4 linked regions of the Macaca mulatta genome follow. The protein of the gene in region 1 interacts with the protein of each later gene in a biochemical or structural test. Links are inferred from orthologs where the notes say so. Each region holds a gene or a part of one and is shown in the gene's direction. Other genes may lie near its edges.

Evidence for each region. The genes of interacting proteins can lie anywhere in the genome.
Region 2: the proteins of TNKS (region 1) and RNF146 form a complex in vitro, tested with the Homo sapiens proteins (3 studies listed by BioGRID and IntAct, with this or other methods). The link is inferred for Macaca mulatta from reciprocal best matches to the Homo sapiens genes TNKS and RNF146.
Region 3: the proteins of TNKS (region 1) and TNKS1BP1 form a complex in vitro, tested with the Homo sapiens proteins (2 studies listed by BioGRID). The link is inferred for Macaca mulatta from reciprocal best matches to the Homo sapiens genes TNKS and TNKS1BP1.
Region 4: the proteins of TNKS (region 1) and AXIN1 form a complex in vitro, tested with the Homo sapiens proteins (2 studies listed by BioGRID). The link is inferred for Macaca mulatta from reciprocal best matches to the Homo sapiens genes TNKS and AXIN1.

What each region holds. Positions count from the first base shown.
Region 1 is NC_133413.1:11,544,651-11,548,150, reverse strand, and holds part of TNKS (poly [ADP-ribose] polymerase tankyrase-1), read left to right. Parts: intron 1-782; coding exon 783-948; intron 949-2,377; coding exon 2,378-2,597; intron 2,598-2,890; coding exon 2,891-3,000; intron 3,001-3,500.
Region 2 is NC_133409.1:32,293,987-32,298,013, forward strand, and holds RNF146 (E3 ubiquitin-protein ligase RNF146), read left to right. Parts: upstream 1-1,344; 5' UTR 1,345-1,413; intron 1,414-1,842; coding exon of another isoform or gene 1,843-1,843; coding exon 1,844-2,923; 3' UTR 2,924-3,527; downstream 3,528-4,027. UniProt on the Homo sapiens protein: E3 ubiquitin-protein ligase that specifically binds poly-ADP-ribosylated (PARsylated) proteins and mediates their ubiquitination and subsequent degradation. May regulate many important biological processes, such as cell survival and DNA damage response.
Region 3 is NC_133419.1:16,081,413-16,085,501, forward strand, and holds the start of TNKS1BP1 (182 kDa tankyrase-1-binding protein), read left to right. Parts: upstream 1-1,289; 5' UTR 1,290-1,402; intron 1,403-3,825; exon of another isoform or gene 3,826-4,000; intron 4,001-4,089.
Region 4 is NC_133425.1:1,567,056-1,571,065, reverse strand, and holds the start of AXIN1 (axin-1), read left to right. Parts: upstream 1-1,210; 5' UTR 1,211-1,485; intron 1,486-1,601; exon of another isoform or gene 1,602-1,893; intron 1,894-1,946; exon of another isoform or gene 1,947-2,094; intron 2,095-2,122; 5' UTR 2,123-2,124; coding exon 2,125-2,202; intron 2,203-4,010. UniProt on the Homo sapiens protein: Component of the beta-catenin destruction complex required for regulating CTNNB1 levels through phosphorylation and ubiquitination, and modulating Wnt-signaling.

The sequences.
Region 1 (3,500 bases):
TTTCAAAGTGTTACAGTGTATTGGAGAGCAAGCAGCATTTGCTTCTATTGCTCATTTTAACACTTAGCATATTTCATCCCAAAACTAAAAAAAAAAAAAAATGCACTCAATACTTTGCTTCTGCCATGTGTTAAGTTCGACATTTTGTTCTTTTGATGCACTCTTTTGTGGGAGCATCTTTTTGTCCTTTTAGAATGTCAACTGCTTACTGATCAGAGCTTAGACTCCTCTCAGAATAGTTTGCCCGTTTCTTATCTGAGTAGCACTTACAGTTGACATCATCATTTTTCTCACTGAATACTTTTCTGAATTACCTGGATTGTGAATTTTCATTGTTTGGTACCTCAGTATTTAAACCTCTGCACGGAAGTCACCACTGAATCACCACTATGATTAAACCACTATGATTCAATCACCACTATGATTTAAACAACTTTTTACCAAGATAGAACTTGCCTAAATAAGTTAATTGCATTATATTTTTTATAAGTAAGCATACAGTTTTCATTAGTAAAACTCATAAAGATAAGGATTGCTGTGAGTATATATCCATCCCCAAGAAACTTAGGAAAAAGTCTTTACATTGAAAGGACATTTTTGAAATTACTACTCCTTATTTACAAATGGATAACTATATCTTAAAGAACAGAGGTGGGTGTATTTCTTTTTGAGCAGTGTTCAGTATAGTCAGTACCGTAGAAGAATGGTAGTATTTTTATTATAAGAATCATTTTAACTCAAAGATTTGTTTTATAACTTTAAAATAATTTTCTTTTGCTTAGTGGCTTGGTGCCCCTTCATAATGCCTGTTCATATGGACACTATGAGGTGGCTGAGCTTTTAGTAAGGCATGGGGCTTCTGTCAATGTGGCGGACTTATGGAAATTTACCCCTCTCCATGAAGCAGCAGCTAAAGGAAAGTATGAAATCTGCAAGCTCCTTTTAAAAGTATGTAGTTTAAAAAGTTATGAAATATAGACTAATTGTATTTATATTTTGGTTGTTACTTGAAAGTAAGTTGGGGTATGTTATTCTATTAAGAACAATACTGCTGTAAAGACTGCTCTCATTTTCTATTTCCCCGAAGACTGTTTATGTGGTACGATACATAGCTTAATATCTGAAATGGTTTGATTAAGTCCATGTCATAAAAATTCATCAAAGTAGGTTTTACAAAGAGCTGAAATAGTTTGCATTGCTTATCTAGTACTTATAGTATTAATAACAGAAAAAATTGTACAGGAGAAACAAGCTTTTCAATCTAGTTGGTTTTTTTTTCCTTGTTGGCTATTTTATTATTGTTAACTAACTCATTCTTCATTAGTAAACATTAAACATTTTATCTTTTAAGAACTTATTTTAATAACAGATTTTTATTAAAATATAAGATAATCTCTAGACAAAGTTGTTCATATAGATTTGAGATACATGTAAAAGAGTAAAAACTAGTAGTTATATGAAACTAACTATAATTTATGCTCACTTTAAGTTAAAGTATATTTTTAAAAAATGACCAGATGTGTATTTATGAGATTTTCTCTTGCTTTTTTTTAACTACAGAAAAAAAAAATTGATGTGTTTAAATAAAATTCTTCTCCCTTCACTTTTATGATATCAAATATGTTCTTATGAATCTTGAGAAAAACACAGTATCTGATACTCATTTTTATTATCACTGGTTGGTAAGAAATAACTTCCAAGTCATTGTGAATCCATTGTCCAACTTGACTTACAACTAATTTCCTCAGTGAGCCCACTACAGTTTGTGGCCAACCTATAATAAAAATTACTGACTTCTATTTACTTTATTTAATAGATATTGGTAATTAAACTTTTAAAATCTCTAATTTTAATACCTTTATATCTAATTTCATGGTAGATGTTAAGACTTAGGATAAAAATATTAAAAATATTACCAAACTTTATCTAAAGATGGCCTTTAGAATTAAGTCCTTTTTTACCAGCGTGTCTTACTCTCTTCTTTTTCATACCTACTGAGTATCTTTATGTAATTGAATCTGGTCAAAATTAACATCCATGCTATTCTTCAAAGTAAAATAGGTTTCCAAAGACAACTTGGAATCAGAGAAAAAGTATATTAAACAAGTTATCTCAAAGATACTTAACAGTCTCCCTACTTTATCATCACCATTGATCCTGAAGCTTTTACTGAGTAGTATTAATAGTTAGAAAGCTGATCCATTATATTGCTAAGTAGGAATTTTGCAAAGTGTTTTTCAAAATGCATATAGCATAGATACCTTCCCCTGGAGGAACAAAGGTAGAGTAAATTAAGTACCTACCTACCTACCTACCTACTTACTACAGAAAGATACTATAGAAAATACAAACCCCATTTGGTTTTTCTTCTTTGTAGCATGGGGCAGATCCAACTAAAAAGAACAGAGATGGAAATACACCTTTGGATTTGGTAAAAGAAGGAGACACAGATATTCAGGACTTACTGAGAGGGGATGCTGCCTTGTTGGATGCTGCCAAGAAGGGCTGCCTGGCAAGAGTGCAGAAGCTCTGTACCCCCGAAAATATCAACTGCAGAGACACCCAGGGCAGAAATTCAACCCCTCTGCACTTGGCAGGTGAGCGCCCCCCAGTGCCTCCACGCCTCCTTTTCCTTTCTCGGACACCTGATACAGTGTACTAAAAGATGAAAGCCATGCTGAACATAAATGGGACTACTTAGTAAAATGCTGTTGATTGACATAGTTTTGTATAATTTCTTATTGTGAAGTCCCTCCATTATGAGATAATAGTATTAACTTTTGAAGCAAAAAGTATTAAAACCTTAACATTTTCTGGTCCTTATTTTATATGTATGTATTTGTTTTCTTTTAAGCTGACACGTTTCCTGTATTTTTTTTACTCTAAATAGCAGGCTACAATAACCTGGAAGTAGCTGAATATCTTCTAGAGCATGGAGCTGATGTTAATGCCCAGGACAAGGGTGGTTTAATTCCTCTTCATAATGCGGCATCTTATGGGGTAAGCATACTAACGTTGAAAGCTAGAAAACTGGCCAGGCATGGTGGCTCACGCCTGTAATCCCAGCACTTTGGGAGGCCAAGGCGGGCGGATCATGAGGTCAGGAGATCAAGACCATCCTGGCTAACACGGTGAAACCCCGTCTCTACTAAAAATACAAAAAATTGGCCAGGCATAGTGGCAGGCGCCTGCAGTCCCAGCTACTCGGGAGGCTGTGGCAGGAGAATGGTGTGAACCTGGGAGGCGGAGCTTGCAGTGAGCTGAGATTGTGCCACTGCACTCCAGCCTGAGCCACAGATCAAGACTCCATCTCAAAAATAAATAAATAAAATAAAATAAAATCTAGAAAACTTCCCTGGCATTTACGACTTTGTTAAATGCATACTATGCGTTAAGTGAGTAGATATCTAACTAATAGCATGATTTAGCACAATTTTAATCTTTTGTTCAGAGTTTTGGCGTTTCTTCCCAGCTAAACTTAACTACCTTTTGGCCAACAA
Region 2 (4,027 bases), on another chromosome or scaffold:
GGGTTTATTTAGAACAAGCTTATCCAACCTGTGGGCGACATGCGGCCCAGGGTGGCTTTGAATGCAGCCCAACACAAATTCATAAGCTTTCTTAAAACATTATGTGATTTTTTTTTTTTTTTTTTTAGCTTATCAGCTATCATTAGTGTTAATGCATTTTATGTGTGGCCCAAGACAATTCGTTTTCTTCCAGTGTGGCCCAGGGAAACCAAAAGATTAGACACCCCTGACTTAGAACTTTCCATAGGTTAGGAAAAAGTTGTACTTTCTTGATGTCTATAACCTAGAATTTTTGGTAAAGGAATTGATTGGAAATGTTATTAAAAGTTGAAAATAATTTGGAAATTAAGCATTTTAGTGATCAGTTCTTCCACTGAAACTGTGTTGCTTCCTTTACTAAATATGTGCCATCTTTTTAAAAACTTAATGTGTTGCTTCCTTTACTAGAAAATTGCCATCTTTTTGAGCCTTGTCTATTGAGGAACCAAGAACACAGAAAAGGCTGTAAAAAGAAAAAAAAAAAAGGATTGTTTTAAGATTGGATGTGCTGTGATGATAGCCTAGGATTATTGTTTTTCAATTTTTGATGAGCGTAAGCATTGTTAGTGACTATATCTTTTGTAACTACTGGACCCATTTAGAATGGCAGAATTAGCTGGCACAAAGATTGTCATGCATTTTAAGCTTTAATCTCTCACATCTTCATCTTCATTTCTCAGTCTTCTTTACTTATCAGTGGTTTCCTCCCTCTATTATTTTCTCCCCTTTTAATTTTTTTTTTTTTTTTAACTATGGGGAAAAAAAAATTAAATGTTTCCTTAGCAGGGCACAATAAGGCTTTCATGACTTGGCTTTTGATTATCTTTACACCTTCATCTCCTGCTCTTCCATTGCTTGTATGACTATTTGACTCAGTGTCTTGCACATGCCTCTGCCTGGAATCTGCTCCACTGCCCAGGCCCCTCTGAATGAACACTAAACTTTCTAACCTATGTCCATCCTCTCATCTCTGTCTCTCTCATTGTTATTTTTGTAAGTATGTTAATACATTCTGATTATGCAGGAATCAGGCCATATTGTAATTATCTGCATATTTGTTTCCTTATTTAACAGAGTACTTGAGTGTCTTATTTATCATTAGACCCATCAGTACTTAGTATCTAGACCATGGTAGGTGTTTGGTAAACGTTTATCTGAATCAGCAAGGCAGAAATTATAAATTTTATGTCAGTGTTTAAGCTGGATACATCCAATTTGACAAATCTTTTTTCTTCCTCCTCTTCAGGGCATCTTCAATATTCATGTTATTTTCTCCCTTGGTCTTATGTGATTGTTACCTTTATGAAGCTTTAGTGATTACAAAGCACTTTTTTTGTTCATTTTTACCTGAGCTTTGTAAACTCTGATTTGCAGGTAAGGAAATTTAGACTAAGGGTTGAACTGCATGCCTAAGAGCACATAGTTAATAAAGAACTCTAAAACTCAGATTTTTAGATTTCTTGTCTAGCATTCATTTCACTGTATAATAGCTGCCATGATCCTTTTTCCCTCCACTGGATGCAGCTTTTCATTATATAGTTCTTCAGTGTGTTTCTCCAGGGCCGATCTGTAAGTGCACTGATGGAATTTTTATACATTCCCAAAGTATGTACAAGTAAATGCTTATAAAACGTTTTCATTGGTTGGAGAGTTTTTCTTCTACTTTCATCTTCATATCCCCATTGTCTAGAATGTGGCTTGCATATAATGCACATAATAGGTGGTTAGTATTTTCATAATTGTTGAATTAAGATATTGCAAGAATTAAAACATGACTTTAATATTTTATGTATTTTTTCTTAGGATGGCTGGCTGTGGTGAAATTGATCATTCAATAAACATGCTTCCTACAAACAGGAAAGCAAACGAGTCCTGTTCTAATACTGCACCTTCTTTAACCGTCCCTGAATGTGCCATTTGTCTGCAAACATGTGTTCATCCAGTCAGTCTGCCCTGTAAGCACGTTTTCTGCTATCTATGTGTAAAAGGAGCTTCATGGCTTGGAAAGCGGTGTGCTCTTTGTCGACAAGAAATTCCCGAGGATTTCCTTGACAAGCCAACCTTGTTGTCACCAGAAGAACTCAAGGCAGCAAGTAGAGGAAATGGTGAATATGCATGGTATTATGAAGGAAGAAATGGGTGGTGGCAGTACGATGAGCGCACTAGTAGAGAGCTGGAAGATGCTTTTTCCAAAGGTAAAAAGAACACTGAAATGTTAATTGCTGGCTTTCTGTATGTCGCTGATCTTGAAAACATGGTTCAATATAGGAGAAATGAACATGGACGTCGCAGGAAGATTAAGCGAGATATAATAGATATACCAAAGAAGGGAGTAGCTGGACTTAGGCTAGACTGTGATGCTAATACCGTAAACCTAGCAAGAGAGAGCTCTGCTGATGGAGCGGACAGTGTATCAGCACAGAGTGGAGCTTCTGTTCAGCCCCTAGTGTCTTCTGTAAGGCCCCTAACGTCAGTAGATGGTCAGTTAACAAGCCCTGCAACACCATCCCCTGATGCAAGCACTTCTCTGGAAGACTCTTTTGCTCATTTACAACTCAGTGGAGACAGCATAGCTGAAAGGAGTCATAGGGGAGAAGGAGAAGAAGATCATGAATCACCATCTTCAGGCAGGGTACCAGCACCAGACACCTCCATTGAAGAAACTGAATCAGATGCCAGTAGTGATAGTGAGAATGTATCATCTGCAGTTGTTGCACAGCACTCCTTGACCCAACAGAGACTTTTGGTTTCTAATGCAAACCAGACAGTATCCGATCGATCAGATCAATCGGGAACTGATCGATCAGTAGCAGGGGGTGGAACAGTGAGTGTCAGTGTCAGATCTAGAAGGCCTGATGGACAGTGCACAGTAACTGAAGTTTAAATAAAAATGTCTTCAGCTCCATGCTCAAGGTTGAAAAGGTTACCTGTAAATTTCTGCCCACATAACATTATACTCATCCCTAGTAGTGCATTTTGGGAGTTGGGGTGGGAAGGGGTATGGGAAGGATAGACCCGTAATCAAAATGTCTAACATGTCTCTGTTGAGAAATTTATTTAATGTAAGGAACTTGGGTGTTAATAGTTGAGAGCTGTTTAGTAATAACCCAGTTTTCTCGAGGTCTGTTTACTTTATAGTTTTTAAAAACTTCTGTAGTTCTTTTGGCCAGTGTGTTTGTATTATCTGTGCATTAATGGTCCTCATCTGACTCCTGCATTGTGTCTTATTTTTCTGCATGGATTGGCATAAGACCATTACTAAAATTTGGCACCTGTGAGATGTTTGATATTATGAGCAGGAAGCATAATTTAATGTAAGAATAGATGTGAATTTGGGATTTCAAAATAGATGAATAACTACTATTTTATAGTAAAGTTATTGATACGGAAATGAAAACAGCCAGTAACTTATGTTTCAGAATGTTTGTAACACACTTCATGGCGTTCCCATAGGCTTTGCTGTCTAGTCTTATAGTTTGAGGTTTTTCTGGTCAGCATTTTTCTTTTTGATTACAAAATTTATAATTTAATAAATACTAGAGTTTATCAAAAACAATTTGTCTCTTGTTTGAGTGTGGAAAGGGTGTGGAAACATTTTGACATTTGTGACCAAAGGTCACTTAAAAAGTGGTAGTTTTAATTGGTTGTTTTCAGCTTTAAATCACCTGCCCAGAAAAGTCTGATTTTTTTTCTTAAGAGATTATTTATTTAACAGATTATTATTTAAACAGAACCTATAGGCAGTGTGTATATAATAAATATATATGGAAATAAAATTAAAGCAGATACCATTAATATTTTATATTTTCCTTACCATATTCATTAGTAGTCTAACACTCTGGATTAAATGGCAGACTTACAGTGTTAGCAGACATGAATTCACTTTAAACAAAATGTTGTAGACCACAAAATCCACTTTTATTTGGTAGATTTTACATCTATGGCCAAATAGAAAATATTAGGTTGACACAGTAATCTAGAATTTACC
Region 3 (4,089 bases), on another chromosome or scaffold:
CTCTGTTGCTTCCCAAGGATGGCTGTTTATAATTTGGGGAGAGAGAGGGTGGGAGGCAGGGCAATGCAGGATCAAAATCCTCATCTTACTTTCCCGACCTTAATTAAGGATGTAGCTGCTGCTGGTCCTGTTCAAGTTGCTGGAGCAGGGGTCATGTGAGGCCAGGCCTGTAGCTCCTACCTGGGGCCTATTTCTACTTTTATTTTGTATTTCTGGTCTGTGAAAATGATTTAATAAAGGGAACTGACTTTGGAAACCATGTCTTTATGCTTTCTTTGTAGCCCTGGTTTGTTGCTCCTACTTTTACTGGTGGTGGTTACTGCCCTGGTCAGACTAGGCAGAGCCTGGCCAGCCGGGAAGCAAGTCTCGAGGCACATCCTGTTCTGTTCCCGGCTGGAGAAGCATTGGTTTTCACCCGCCTCTGCCCGGTTGGGCCACCTGAGAATCTAGAAATGAGAGCTGATGTGATTAGGAAGTCTCTCCCGGTTACACTCCATTAGCCAACCAAGCTAGGGGGAGGCAGCTCTTGGCCCCATCCTTACCTATGAGTCAAGGGTCTTCCAAGGCTTTAGATAATGAAATCAGGATTGACTGTCCTTCCCGCAGCCGGGGGAGTGGAAACGTGAGCCTGGAGAGTCGGGGAGGATGAGCGTGTGTGTAGGGTGGTGGTGGTTGCAGCCTGGTGGGGGGGTGCAAGAAAAGTACGGAGTATATGTGCAGCTTTTGTTCTTACGGGAAGAAGGGGGGATACAAACTTCAGTGTAGGGAGGAACCCACGTCTGAGACGGGGCCTGAAAGGAGATAAAGGTCACTACTGAGGAAAGCAGAGCTGCCAGACTTCCTCACCGTGGCTCTAAATCTGAATTGACACAGGAGGGGTGGCCACGTTGCGCGCGTTCTCAGCACTCAGGTGGCTGTACCAGGAAGCCGCTCCAGTCCGCCGGCTGCTACCTTCTTGCCGGCGTAGCTCGATGGTACTGCACTCCGTGCAGGCGGCGGGGCCCGGGAGGGGCCGCCAAGGCAGTCTCTCTAGGCAGTCGTCTCGGTGTCCATTTTACCCGAGCGCCCCCGGCTGAATTGCGTCAGTTTCGCCCCGGTCTGAGCCTGGGGCGGGCCCCTCATCTGCAAGCCTCATGAATAATTGAGTACTGGGCCGCGCCTGTTTGCCGACGGTGGGACGAATTCTGCACGGGCTTCCAACTCCCGGGTTCCACCGGCTCATGCATATTCATGAGCGCCCTGGGGGCGTGGGCCTGGGCGGAGCTAGGGGCGGGGCCCCGCCGGGGCTCACAGTGGCTTCGTCCCGCGGTGACGGCGGCGGCGGCGGCGGTAGCAGCGGCGGCGGCGGCGGGGACTGGCGTCGGGGCGCCGAGCCGAGCGGAGCCGGATCCCGGGCGAGCGCGTGAGTGCGCGGGGGCGGGCGGGCGAAGGAGGGGGCGGGGTCCGGGATGGGGCGGGGGAGGGGCATGGAAGGAGTGGGCGCTTTCCAGCCGAGACCTCGGGTTGAGGTGGTGGCGGTGAGGGGGTCACCAGGAAAGTTTGCAGGGGCCGGGGGCGCTGGGGACGCTGGAGGCCCGGGGGAAGCTGGCGCGTGTGCGCGGGGGCGGAGGGCGCATGGTCTGGAGCTCGTGCTGGCGGAGCCAGAAGAAAGGGGGGAGGGGGCGAGGGCTTGGGGCGGGGCCGGGGGCGGGCAGAGCCGCTGGAGGGACCCCTGCCTCCCCTTCCCCTGGGCCGCGCTAGCCCCCTCCCCCGGCTCCTTCGGCACGCCCCCAGCCACCCCAGTCCGCCCCCACCTGATCGACGTCTGCAGCCCACCGTCTGTTCGCCGGCTGCTTCACAGCCCGCTCACAGGTCCTCCGCTTCTGCCGCCACCGCCGTCCCCTCCTCCTCCTCCATCCTCTTCTCCTCCTCCTCTTCGGCTGCCGCTGTCCCTTCTGTGTCCAGAGCTCCCCACTGGGCCCCTCCAGACAGCCCATTGCCCGGGGCTGTTCCATCTTCCCGTTGGCCCTCCCTCTTTCCACCAGTTTGCGTGCTGTCCCTGCCGACCTCTCTAGCCTTCGATCCGGCTGGAGATCTTGCGGTCCATAGGGGCGACCCCGCCTGCGCCGAGTCCCCTCCGGGGCTGGAGCTGCCCAGCCCTTCTGGAGGCCTTATCTGCCAGGGGTCAGTTCGTCTCTACCCCGCTACCCTCTACCTCCTGGTCTTTTGGGGGTGGGGAGTGCTCGGATCCGCTGCGATTTTGCAGCTTCTGGCCACAGCCTTGGTGGCCTTGCTCACCTGGGGCTCCTGGCTGGGGTCTCTGAGTTGCTGTGGCCACCTCCGCACCTGGGGACTCTGAGCCCGCCTTCATTGCTGCAGCCCCTCATACCGCAGAGGGGCCCATCAGAACCTCAGGTGAAAGGATTTTTTTGATTCTGAGCCAATTCATTTCCATGTCCAACCACCCACACTATGTCCCTAGTAATAATGTTCAAGGACAAGGAAACAATCTTGTGTTTTAATTTTATTTTTTCTATCATGTGCCCCTCCCCCCACCACACTTGGCCTGGCTCTGCATAGTTATTCACACACCCACAGTGGGCAGTCTTCCGTGGTGGTTGACTGACCAGTGGGTTGACAGTACTGGGTTTCTCTGCTGTCTTCATACCCTTTCCCATCTTTGAAATCCCTGGGGCAGGGTTAGCGTTAGGGGAGAGGAGTTGGATTTTGCAGAGGTTGAGCACTGGAATTTGGTGCTGTCTTCCCAGACCAGCTGGAGTGGGTGGTTTTAAGTGAGGCAATGCCCCTTGCAGGTTGGAGAGGGTTGGGTTGTCCTCAGGGCTCTGCACACCGGGTGAGGGAAACTTCCCCCTTGCATGAGAGGTGCAGGGCCCTATTCCCCAGGGTCTCCATGTTTTTGTGGGTGGGAGAGTGCTTCAGGAGCCAGGATGGGAACTGAGGAGGTGGTGGAGTATCTGAAGAACAGGTGACAGGACTAGGGCCTGGGAGAGTGAAGGAATGGTCTGGGAATGCTGGTAGCCTGGGGTCACGGAAGAGGAGGAGGTGCTTATCAGGATATTAGCTCATTGGTGACACTGAATGGAATCACAGTAATCATAGGCAACATTTATTGAATCCTTATTATGTACTAGTCATTGTGCTAAGCAGTTTTCATGTACTATATCACGTAAGCCCCCTCAGGGTCTCAATAATCCCATTTTTCAGTTGGAGACACTGAGGCTTAGAGAAGTCACACGGCTAGAAAGTGGTAGACCCATCCAGCCTTGAATCTTGGTATATCAGACCCTGAAGCTCCTGTGGCAGGCTTCTACCACAGGGCTGTGCCACTTGGTTTAATTTCTTCTGTTCCCCTCAGAACTCCTTAAAGCCAACCCAAGGCTGGTGAGTGAAGCCCACATAGCCCCTTTTCATAGGCTGTGGCTGTTCCGCCCTGACTCTCTTGGAAGGTGGAGCCCCAGGGAATTTTCCCCCAAGTCACTCCACCCCCCGGATATTCTCAAGCCCTGTCCCGTTCTCCCAGCCCAGGCCTGGGCCGGCTCCTCCTTCCTCTTGGCTAGGCTCTGGAAATCCAGTGGGAGGCCATTGCTATGGCAACAGGACTAGGCCCTGGCTTTACCTCATCAAATTCCAAGCTGAAGCCAAGCGATTGAGAAATTAAAGAAAAAAATATATTCCAGATGTTTACTTTTTATTCCTTATTTTTCCGTGTTTGGATGAGACAGCTCTGAGGGAGGGGAGAGTGGGGCAGGGATGTGGAGGGAGAACAGGGAGAGGGGGGAGAAGGAACCACTCCCAGCTTTGGGAGGGAGGGAGAGAGGGAAGGAGGGTGAGCGGGAAGGGGGAGGCAGGCAATGAGGCGGAGCCCAGGTTGGGGAGGAGCGGGTTTTTCCCGTCTCCCGTGAGGTGATTCACAGAGTCTTCATACTTTGCAACTCTCTGGCTCTGCTTTGAGTAGACACCTCCAGCGGGGCCGTCCTACTCAGGGGGCACTCTGGGGACTGTAAGTGGGGTGTCTTGGAGAGTTTGTCAGAGGAGGGAGCAGTGAGTGACTCCCTGAAGCGCTAGGACTTTGGGGTTAGAAGATAAGAA
Region 4 (4,010 bases), on another chromosome or scaffold:
CACGGATCTGGGCAGCCAAGATGGCAGGATTGGACTGCACCCCTTGGCAGGGCCGCTGTGGAGACAGCCCAGGGGAGGGGCTGCAGGGTTTCAGACACTCCAATGGCCTTCCTCTCAGGCTGGCCTGGGCAGCGGAGGGAAGGAGAACCCTTCTCTGATACTAGATGGTGCCTGGGAGAAATCAAGGCAGAGGGTCCTAGCCGGTGGGCTCCTTGGAGGTTGTGGCTCCTGTCCGGGTGACAGCCAGCACATATTGGGGCCTAATGTGTTCCCTGGCGCTGTGAGTCCCGGCTGCCTGGGGACTCAGGAGGGTGGAGCCCACGCCACCTTCCAAGGGACCTGGCCATCCCTGCCTGCCGACCACCCAACTCCTGGGAGCCTGCTTCCCTCACGGCGGCTGGCAGGCCGTGGCGGTCTCCGCGGGGGCCTCCGGTCCAGGGCCGGCGGGGCAGGGAGCCCCGAGGCCTGCAGCCCCCTGGATGCCCACCGATGTACTGGCGGCAGAAAAGGGCTGCGCCCCGCGTGCGCCCGTCGGGGCGGGCAGTCCGCCCAGCGCTCCCCACGGTCGCAGCCATTCCAAGCACCTGCAGCGGCGCCTCCCCCACTCCGCACTCCGGGAAGCCGCAGCCGCCGCGGCTCTGCTTCCGCGTCGCCCCTCGGGAAGACCGCGCGACCACGCCCCCGCCGCGCCCCGCCCCCGGCAGGGGCTGACCACACCCCTCTCCCGCTCACGCAGAGGCCCTGCCCCATGCTTCTCACCTCGTCCTCGCTTCCGGCCCCGCCCCGCGCACGAGGCTCCGCCCCACGCTCGTTACCTCTTCGGCTCGAGGCGGGCCCCGCCTTGCTCCCTGGCCGCAGCCCCACTCCCAAGGCCCCGCCCTGCGCTCTTCACCTCGTCTTCTCGCTTCCGGCCCCGCCCGTGCTTGGGCCCCGCCCTGCGCTCCTCACCTGTCCAATCGCTGTCTGCCCCGCCCCACGCTCCTCACCTTATCCTCGCGCTTTCAGCCACGCCCCGCGCCTGAAGCCCCGCCCCACGCTCTTTACCTCGTCCCCTCGCTGTCGGCCCCGCCCCGAGCTGAGGCCCCGCCCCGCGCTCTCACCTCGTCCCCGCGCCCCGGCCCCGCCCCCGCACTTCCGGGCGCCGCCGGCGGGGGCGCTCGGGCCTGGGCTTCGGCGCTCTGGGCTCGGGCTCCGGCTCCGGAGGCAATCGTGGCCGCTGCCGCCGCCAGAGCCGGCCGGAGTCGACCCGGAGCCGCGTCCACGCGGAGCGGGCGGGTGGGAGCTGGCGGCTGGGCCCCTGCGGCGCCCCCGCGGCCTGCCCCGCGTCCGCCCCCGGGCCGCCGAGCCGCAGCCGCCGAGATGGGGGCCGCCCCGGGCCGCGCCCCCGCCGAGTCCCGCCCGCCGCGCTGCCGCTGAGCGCATGGGCCGGGCTGCGCCGCGCCGCTCCGGGAGCCGGGCCCGGGGCCCCGCCGCCTCCGCGCGCGGGTGAGTAGGGCCGGGCGCCGGGGCGGGCTAGGCCGCGCTAGGCCGGGCGGGCGGGACCCGGAAGCGGCGGGGGGCGCGGGTGGCTGACGCGCGTGGGGCCGAGGGGGTGGGCGCGCGGGGAGCTGGGGCAGGGGTGTCCCTGGGCAGCGAGACCGGCGGCGCGGGGGCCGCTTGGAGTTCCGAGGCCTCGGGCGCGTCTGGGGGCGCGGAGCAGCTGCAGGGGCCGCGCATCGCGTGCGGGAACTCCGGGAGAGCCGGGCCTGGAGCCCTCCCCGCCTCCCAGAAGTCGGCAGGAGTCCGGCTGCCCCGGAGGAGGGCACTCCCGCCCGCCCTCGCCGAGGCCGCGTACCGGGTCCAGGTCGCGGTGCGGCCTGAGTAGCCGCGTGCTCAGGCGTTCGTGCCCTCCAGGTTTGATGCCTCGCTGCCCAAACACTCGTCTCTCTCTTGGGTGTGGTTCCTAGATTCTACCTCCCGCCCGGCACTTTGGAATTTAGCCCCCAGTGAAACCAGAGCTGCATTGCCTGAGCAGTGAAACTTTCGGCTTGGCATTGAAGAAAGTAGAGAAAAACATGTCAGTTCTCTAGGGATTTTTCTCAGCCCATCTATAAGGTAATTTTTTTTTTTTTTTTTTTTGTAGAGATGAGGTGTCACTATATTGCCCAGCAAGTGTTGTTGAACTCTTGGCCTCAAGCGATCCACCTGCCTCAACCTGCCAAGGTGCTGGGACTACATGCGTGACCACCGCCCCCTCTAAGATAATTTTTTTTTTTTGAGACGGAGTCTCGCACTGTCGCCCAGGCTGGGAGTGCAGTGGCGCGATCTTGGCTCACTGCAACTTCCACCTCCTGGGTTCAAGCAGTTTTCCTGCCTCAGCCTCCTGAGTAGCTGGGATTACAGGCATGCGCCACCACGCCCGGCTAATTTTTCTATTTTTAGTAGAGACGGGGTTTCACCGTATTGACCAGGCTGGCCTGGAACTCCTGACCTCAGGTGATCCGCCCACCTCGGCCTACCAAAGTGTTGGGATTACAGGTGTGAGCCACCGTGCCTGGCCCCTTCTAAGATAATTGATAAAGGGTGCAGTGCAATAGTGCGATCTCTGCTCACCGCAATCTCCGCCTCCCAGGTTCAAGCGATTCTCCTGCTTCAGCCTTCCCAAGTAGCTGGGATTATAGGCATGTGCCACCAAACCTGACTAATTTTGTATTTTTAGTAGAGTTGGGGTTTCTCCATGTGGGTCAGGCTGGTCTCAAACTCCTGACCTCAGGTGATCCGCCCACCTCGGCCTCCCAAAGTGCTGGGATTACAAGGGTCAGCCACCACACCTGGCCTCAGTTTCAGTTTTAAGATCTCCATTCGGGGACAAGGATGGGAAAGCATGAAAAACAGTGTTTTTGTTTGATTTTCAGCTGGTGTTGACTTGGATTTCTAGTTTCAGAAAAGCTAAGCAGACTTTTTCGGATTACATTAGTCACTGAGAATTTCAGTGATGGGGGAACAAATTACATGTGAAATAGTAGCCCTGAACCTTCAAGAGTTAAATCAGTGGACAGCTGGGAAGATGTCAGAGTCGTGCTGTTTTACTTGCATCCTCCATGTAAATCAAAATTTCAAAAGTTAAGTTTGGGTAAAATAAATACCTACACACGTAGGTAGCACTGAGTTTGCTGCCATGGTGCCTGGGGCATATGCCTAAGCAGTGATGAAAGGGAATTTTAAATACGATATCAGACTTGTAGGCATCCTGCCCATTTTATGGACTCACTTTATTGATGGTAGCTACAGGCTGTGGGCCAGATTCAGTGCTTGCGGGCATTTGATGCTAACCTGAGTAAACATAACTGCTTTATGTGTGGTGTCTACGTGTGTGTACACTAAATGCTTGGTGTGCTTCCATGTGGAAACCCAGAGATTTCAGGAATTGGGATATGTTTTAACAACATCAGTAACTTGTGGAGGGGTTCATGTGCTTCCAGGGACACCAAAAAGTCTTCTGTCAGTTGACAGCCCAAAATACACATGATTATAAAAAAATTTTCTCCTGGGCTCTGAAAAATAGTTTAAAATAATTAAGGTGGACTTGGTTCACACATGAATTAAAACATTAGTTTTGGGGCCAGGCAAGGTGGCCTGTAATCCCAACACTTTGGGAGGCCGAGATGGGCAGATTGCTTTGAGCTCAAGAGTTTGAGACCAGCCTGCCCAACATGGTGAAACCCCATCTCTACAAAAAATACAAGAATTAGCCGGGCGTTGGTGGCTCCTGCTTGTAGTCCCCGCCATATGAGAGGCTGAGGCTGGAGAGTTGCTTGAGCCTGGGAAGCTGAGGCTGCAGTCAGCTGAACTCGCCCCACTGCACTCCAGCCTGGGCGACAGAGCGAGACCCTGTCTCAAAATAACAAAAAAAACCAAAACAATAAAACCCATTAGTTTTGGAAGAATTTGCTGCTGTTTTCTGTAGTACAGTAGTTCAGCATCTGTAGAGAGCCAGTGTTTGGCATCTGTGACAAATGTCTGTCTTTTTT